Sus scrofa: one gene and its partner. The protein of the gene in region 1 interacts with the protein of each later gene in a pairwise test. Links are inferred from orthologs where the notes say so. Each region holds a gene or a part of one and is shown in the gene's direction. Other genes may lie near its edges.

Evidence for each region.
Region 2: the proteins of TRIM69 (region 1) and FAM110A interact in binary tests that used the Homo sapiens proteins (3 or more experiments, as listed by UniProt). The two-hybrid records come from large-scale screens. The link is inferred for Sus scrofa from reciprocal best matches to the Homo sapiens genes TRIM69 and FAM110A.

The regions. Positions count from the first base shown.
Region 1 is NC_010443.5:126,775,282-126,778,872, reverse strand, and holds the end of TRIM69 (E3 ubiquitin-protein ligase TRIM69), read left to right. Parts: intron 1-2,467; coding exon 2,468-3,009; 3' UTR 3,010-3,017; downstream 3,018-3,591.
Region 2 is NC_010459.5:34,434,711-34,439,114, reverse strand, and holds the start of FAM110A (protein FAM110A), read left to right. Parts: upstream 1-1,385; 5' UTR 1,386-1,623; exon of another isoform or gene 1,624-4,404.

The DNA.
Region 1 (3,591 bases):
TTTGGGAACAAAGAAAGTATCAAGTCCCTGAAGTAGGAATAAGCTTGATATGTTCAATAAACAGCTAAAAGGCAAAGGCAATTGGGCCAAACTAAATGGAGGGAGCTAGGGTAAGTGGTGAGAGATGAGGTCAAGAGAAGTGGGTAAATCAGGTAGGTCTTATTTACTCTGTAAGGACTCTGGATTTTATCTTGGGTGATGGGAGGCATACAAGTATTCTGAACAGGAGAACTAAGTGATCTTATTCATGCTATGCACAGAATAGGCTGAAGACAGGCAAGACTGGAAAGAGAATAGTTAAAAAGCTATTGTAGTAGTTCTAAGTCAGTGGTGAAAGTTGTTTGTCTATATATTTGGAGTAGGCTTAAAATGTATTTTAAAAGTGGAGCTGGTAGAACTTACTGTTGGACTGAACAGGGCATAAGAAAAAAAGAGGGGACACACAGCTGACTCTTAGGAATATTCAGAGCCAGGGCAGACTGAGCTAGGTGGATATGTCAGAGGCTTAGTATCAGGCTGGGGTTCTAAAGAAAAGTTGACAGGAATTCTTTTCAGTACCTCCAAAGAAATCCTAGTTCTCACATTGGAAAGAGTGACAACCCAAGGTGGATGAGGATTTATGTGAGAGAGAAGATTCAGCCTATATGGGAAAATTTCAGGATTCTTCAAGTCTCCTGTTGGAAAGAAAAAAAAAAATCCTTGGGATGATGGAAAGACTTAGGCTTTTCTCAGATGAGAGAGATGGACTGGTTTGATCTTTTTTTTCCAAGGATAAATAAATCCATTAAAACAAATGTATGCATATTTGTATATGTGTCTATGATGTGAACACGCATAGTTTTTGTATTTCCTTTAGCAAATTTTGTGCCAAGACTCAATTATCTCACATCTAGAATTTGTGTCACTTTGTGCTGCTGATACACTTCCAACCTATCTTCATTTAGAAATTCTTTTTTATACTGCTGCCCATTGATTTGTCTAAATTACCTGTGATGAAGGACCAGTTTTTTAAATCTCAACCTGTCATGTTTATAGAATACAAGTTAATTACTTGAAAAAGTGGAATTAAAAAAAAAGATTACAAAGTACAAGCCCAGTTTTTTAACTAAATCAACTGACATAAAAATTATTCTGTCAGAAGTTCCCTTGTACAGCAGGTTAAGGGTATGGTGTTGTCACTGCCATGGTTAGGGTCGAAGGAACTGGCCCAGGAACTTCCACATACTATGGACAAGGTAAAAAAAAAAAAAAAAAAAAAAAAAAAAATTACTCTGTCAAAGTGTAAGTTTCTTCCTTAGCCTGATATACCAAGTCTTCATAATCAGACCTCTGCCTACCTTTATACCCTTATCTCTTGCCATCATCTGCCATATAACCCTGTGTTTCAGCCTTGCTAAGGTACCTGCAGCTCTTGAAAATATTGTGCACCCTTTTTCTTGTTTGTGTATTTGCTTTCCTTTTGCCTGGAATATCTTTCTCCTTTTTCACCTAGATAATTCTATTTTTACTTTTATATCAGCTTACTTTTTACTTCATCCTAGAAGACCTTTACTTTTACTTGACACTACCCTTAAAATAGATATCCTTCCTTTATGTTCAGCAGTTACTCTCTATATACCTCTATCATAGTATTACACCGTTGTAATTGTTCACATACCCATTTCTCCACAAAGTTTGGGCATTATGAATATAAGATGTATCTGATCTCTGTATTTCCATTACCTAACACAGGAAATGGGCTTACATTTAGACACTTAATAAATGTTTGTTGCATGAACATGTAAATAAGTCATATGTTTCTGAAAAGAAAAAAAAAGTATAAGTTTCTAAGAGCTTACTCTCAATTTCTAAAATATCTTGCCTCAGACTGGTAATTAAACCATTTGTAAACCACATTCTGATTATCAGTAGCATTAAGCATTCAGACCTCAAACGTTTCACTGTCTATTGAACCAAATATAAACTTCTCGCCATGGTCTTAAAAATTCTGTACCAGTTAGCTCAGTCTCACTTGCCTCTAACAAGAAAGCCCTTATCTTCTCTTTAACACAAGGTACCGTTTTTTAACACATTCTGTTTTTGTCTCTGTTTACCCAAAGCATCCTGATACATCTTAAAGATGTTATATCAAAACTGAGGTGCTTATTGCCCTTAGATAACTTTCCTAGGGTCCATTTACCTAATCTTTACCCTTCCAGTATTCATATTTTCTTATATTTATCAGCATAGATTTATGTTATTTGTATTTTTATTAAAGCATATGTTACTTCAGAGTAAAGTCTGATTTTTACCATTGTAAAAATATATAGAATATAGCCACATAGATATCAAAACAATATAAAGTATATAAGTAATAACCTGCTAATCTAAATGTATATGTGCCTAGGGAGATAAAGCACTGGTGTCTATGGGAACCTGCATTCATCCCTTTACCCCCATGCCCTGCTTTCTCTTCTTGTCTTACTAGGCCTGTCTCCATTAACACTGGACCCTAAAACTGCTCACCCAAATCTCGTGCTCTCCAAAAACCGAACCAGTGTGTGGCATGGTGACATTAAGCAGGTAATGCCTGATGATCCAGAGAGGTTTGACTCAAGTGTGGCTGTGCTGGGCTCTAAAGGCTTCACATCTGGAAAATGGTACTGGGAAGTAGAAGTAGCAAAGAAGACAAAATGGACAGTTGGAGTTGTCAGAGAATCCATTCTTCGGAAGGGCAGCTGTCCTCTAACTCCTGAGCAAGGATTCTGGCTTTTACGACTAAGGAACCAAACTGATCTAAAGGCTCTAGATTTGCCTTCTTGCAGTCTGAAACTGAATAACAACCTCAACAAGGTGGGCATATACCTGGATTATGAGGGAGGGCAAGTATCCTTCTACAATGCTAAAACTATGAACCACATTTACACCTTCAGTAGCACTTTCATGGAGAAACTTTATCCCTACTTCTGTCCTTGCCTTAATGATGGCGGAGAGAATAAAGAACCATTGCATATCGTACATCCACAGTAATTTGTCATACTGTTGTATAAATTCGGAGCAATATTAAAGAGGTATTAAAATAGTTTACCAGTCTCGCTGGTTTCTCTTCCCAATTCATGGGGAACTCTAAAATAATGAAAAGAGGATTCACAAATGGAATTTCATACTCAGTGTGCTAAGTGGATTTCACTGGAGCTTTTCAAGATGTAGTTCTAATTCTCAGAGGTCTACTATGACACAGGAGACACTCTCAGGAGTGTGACCATCATAGTAATCTATTATTACTAGGGCAAAATGCAACTTGAGTTTGCAATGCTCAGGAAGCCTGTACAAACTTGTTTAGAAATTCTATCATGCTATCCTTATTCTCCAACATAATTATTCTTAATAGATTCATTTTTAGATGTGTTCCCCTTATCTTTTAACGTAAAAATTTTTTTGTCTCTTTGTCCTTTTAGGGCGGCACCTGCAGCGTATAGGTTTCCAGGCTAGGAGTCTAATCGGAGCTATAGCCACTGGCCTTTGCCACAGCCACAGCAACGCCAGATCCAAGCTGCGTCTTCGACCTATACCATAGCTCATGGCAACGCCAGATCCTTAACCCACTGAGTC
Region 2 (4,404 bases), on another chromosome or scaffold:
AAAAGACAAACAAACAGAAATAATAGAATCTTTCTCCTCAGATGGTTATGAAGTCAAGTGAGACATTGTGAGTATGGCCTTGAGCACAGTCTAGCAAGGGCACAGTTAGTGCTGGGTTTTGTATTTAGCTGGTCCTCACAGTCTCCTGTTGATGTCAGAGCCAGTCCTGAAATGGCTGGCTGTGCCCATGCCAGAGTACAGTCATGGTTAGCTAGGGCTACATTATTAGCCCTCTTCCCTCACCTGCCCAAGGCATGTCACAGTCAATGCTCAATCACTGACAATCCAATCAAAAAATGAAAAACACCAGTTGGGACGGAAAACAGTCTGACTCCAAAATGAGCAATGCCCTAGACCCAAACAGTGACTCACAGCTAAAAAATTCCCTCATCTGGAAGGGCTGAGTTAATTTTTCTAATTCTCTTTTTAAAATTTGTTTTTTGGAAGTGCCCTTGTGGCACAGTGGGTTAAGGATTTGGCATTGCTGCAACTGTGGCACAGGCTGCAAATGTCATGCAGGTTCAGTCCCTGACCCAGGAACTTCCACATGCTGAGGGTGCAGCCAAAAGAAAACAATTATACTGGTTTAACTGTTGGAAGCTTGGAAAATTCATATCAGCAAAAAGAAGAAATTAACTATTGCACATGTTAATACATAAATGTAGTCCATGTGATATTACAATTACATATTTAATGCATATTTACATTGTACATAGTACTTTGACACAACTTTTAGAAATATAAGACTTAGTGCTTTCCCCATATTTTAACGTCATTCTAAATGACTGCATAATATTTCTCATCAGAAAGTGAGGATAGTTAAAGGTACCTATAACTATGAGCACTGACAAGAGTTGTGTCATGAAAAATTACTTGTAAAAAGCTCTGTAAACTCAGTTCTTCTGCAGGATGGATTTATATATCCAATCTCCTTTTACTGAGCACTGAAGTTATTGCTGTTATTTTGCTACAGTAAATAAAGCTGGGCTATATTAATCTTGTTCATATATTCGGTTATTTCCTTTGTCAATATTGAGAGTGCTGGATATACGCTACTTCAAACTAACCCACTCACTCTGCAGATTGGGGAACAGAGAGGGAAAGGGGCGTGCACGGGCTCACAGAGCGAGTTAGTTGGAAAGTCAGTACTAGGAACCGGGAGTAAGTCCCTGCTGAGCAAGGGCAAGAACCAGAGGCCACTGGGGAGGTGAGAGGCGGTGAGGGGCGGGGATGGACCTCGGTGCCGCCGGCCAGGGCTCACCCTCCTGGCTGAAGCTGAGTGGTCGCCTGGCAACGCGGGCGGCGCGGCGTTCGAACGGAAGCGAGAAACCAATCAGGATGTCCGGGGCAAACCATTCCGGTGTGGTGGAGGGGGGAGCGGCGCGTTCACTTCCCCTTCCCCTGCGTCCCCAGAACTTTACTCTGGTGGGGGCTTGGAACAGTCGAGTCCCCTACCTCCTCTCGGGTGTTGAGGGCAGCTCAGAAGGACCTCCCGTGCTTCCCTACGCGGGGCTGGGGCCTCCCGAGACGCGTTGTGTGCGACCGTTCCCCGCCTGGGTCCGAGCTGTCAGCCTCCTCAAGACCCGCACTGGAGGAGCCGGACTCGCCTAGCGCGGGCTCCAGGTGAGGGCACGGGTGGCCCGGGGCGCCAGCCCGGGTCTAGGGGGTGCTCAGTTCACCCTGCGCCTGCTGTGCGCGTCCTCCCCGCGTGGTACCTGCGGCGAGGAGGTGGTACCCCATTTCACAAATGAGAACGCTGAGGCTCAGGGAGGCAGTATCCTAGTCTAGCAGAGAATCCGATACAGGTCTTTCTGCTCCATACCTCAGTCTCTAGTCTACGTTGATCTAAATAGATCTGCCTTGAGAGGCTCAGATGGGTCACTTTCTTAGCCTCTTATCAACAGGAACATGGACAGTAGAGCCCTGGCTGGAGCCCCATCTGGCTGTCCCTCTCCCGTGTCGTCCTGCGGGGTGGGGGTGGGGGGTCCCCTCCTGGACATCTGTCTTCACTTCTCCAGAAAGCCAGGGGGTGGACTTTGGGCTCACTTGGGATCTTTCTGCCTGTGGGGCTCTGAATTAAGTGCTGTCCCTCTCAGAGGCTCTGGTGGGACTGACATTTCTGGGCTAGGTGCCAGGGGGGGCTGCTCTGGCTCTCCAGTTGTTGTTGGATTCTTGGGAATCTACCACAGGTCGGCGGGAAAGGCTAGAGGCAGCCCCTCAACCAAAGACACTAGTCACCAGAGACTTTGGAGTTGGGGGTGGGCCTGGGATCCCTCCTGGTAGAGCATCTGACCAGGCTCTGTTTCCTGGGGACCCCCACCCCCTATCTCCCACCCCCAGGTTGCTGCTGTTGCTGTCCTTTTGTAGGTGGGGAAACTGAGGGTCTAAGAAGTTAAGCCCCTTGCCCAAAGTCATATGGTCAGACTTGGCAACTCTGGGGCTGGCTCCCAGTCTATCTGGCTTCAATCTTGGATTCCTAGACACTCAGAATGGTGGCATCTGGAAGTCTGGAATCTCTTTAAGTGGAGTTACTTACCCTCTCTCCTCCAAATCCACCTCCTTGGTGGGGGGGAGAGGAGTTCTGGAAGCTCAGAAAGAAAACAAGTCTTTCCTTCATTCTTTTAACAAATATTTACCAACTTCATATGGCCCCACCCTCCCCCTTCTCTATTTTGTTTTTCTCAGTAGCATTTACCGCGCTGATGTCCTATAATTTCACTTATTAGCAAGTTTATTATCTTCTCTGACTGGAATGTGACGCAGGGAGGGGTTGGGCTAAGTGAGGTAGTTACCTCCAGTGCAAAATTGAGGGGTGCCTAAAACCCCAGTAATCAAATGACTAGAGCTAACATTTGTTGATCATTTGCTGAGCGCTCTGCTGGTGGGAGTTCAGTCGATATGCAGCACAGCCCCCCAGCTCTGTCGCAATTACAGGTGCTTCCTCCTGACCTAGCTGTCCCACTTCTAGGTGGAGTGACAGAGGTGCAGTGAGGCTGCAGTGTGGTTTGTAATAGAGAGAGACGACACACATACTTGGTGGCCGTTGCTAGAGGCTGACAGGTTCTTTATGTACTGATGTGGCACAATTAATAACATAATTGATAATATGTTAATAACACATATTAAGAACAATATAACTGAGTTAAAGAGCAAGATGAAAACAGTACAGAGAGCTGTTGCCATATGTGTAAAAAATAGACTATATGTCCATTATTGTTTGTTTGTGACTAACATCTCACTGGGAGGACGTGCAGCTATCTCGTCGCAGTGATGCCTGCAGGGAGGGAAACTGGGGACAGGAGTGGGAGGGAGGTTTTTTTTTTTAACTTTATTCCCTTTAGAGCTTTTGAATTTTGAGCCACATACATATATCACCGGGTTAAAACATATATGTCTTATAGGAGTTCCCACTGTGGCGCAGTGGAAATGACTCCGACTAGGAATCATGAAGTTGTGGGTTCGATCCCTGGCCTTGCTCAGTGGGTTAAGGATCTGGCGTTGCCGTGAGCTGTGGTGTAGGTCACAGATGCGGCTCGGGATCCTGTGTGGCTGTGGATGTGGCAGAGGCTGGCAGCTGTAGCTCCAATTGGACCCCTAGCCTGGGAACCTCCACACGCTGTGGGTGAGGCTCTATAAAAAGGAAAAAAAAATTATATATGTATATATATATGTATTATAGATGATCTAATCATGAGACCACTGTCCTGTCTCTGTTCTGTCACTTGCTCGTGACTTTGGGTAAGTTTCTGTACTTCTCTGGGCCAAGAAAAAAGGCCATGATTGTGAGCTCAGGCCCAGGCAGAGGGCAGCCTGGGACAGGAAGTGGGCTTGGTTGTGGGTCAGTCCCAACCCCACCTTCCTCATCCTGTGTGCCAGGCCCTTCCCAAAGGCTTTGCATGGCAGTATCTCTGCTGCCAGTCCCTTTGTCCTCATCTTGCAAGCTCAGGTGCACACCTGGCGTCCAGAGGATTGAGTGGGCAGAGGTGTGAGGTCGGCGGGCCAAACAGGAGATCGTTGCCTTAGGCTGCGGCACCCACACCCCTCCTGCAGCCTGTTTACCTCTTCTTTCTGAGGTTTGTGCAAGGTTGCCCTGGGCAGAGCTGACTCCAGGCAGGCTGGGGCACGAGTGTCTGGGAGAAGTCCAGAAATAGCACGGGGCCCGCGTGGCCCTAGAGGATGCCCAGCTGGGTGTTTCTGACCCGGACAGCTGGGCTGAAATCGAGCTGGGCTGTCCTAGTGTCCTGGGGTCCCTGCTGCCTGGAGCCTTGCTGATCCCCCTCTGGGGCAGAAGAGGGCCTCCCTGTCTCCACCCACGTCTGGGCCAGGCTTCTGCTGAAGAGAAAGGGAGAAGCAGGTGGAAGGAAGGGGTGAGGTGGGAGGGCAGAGTGTCAAGAACATTAGAAA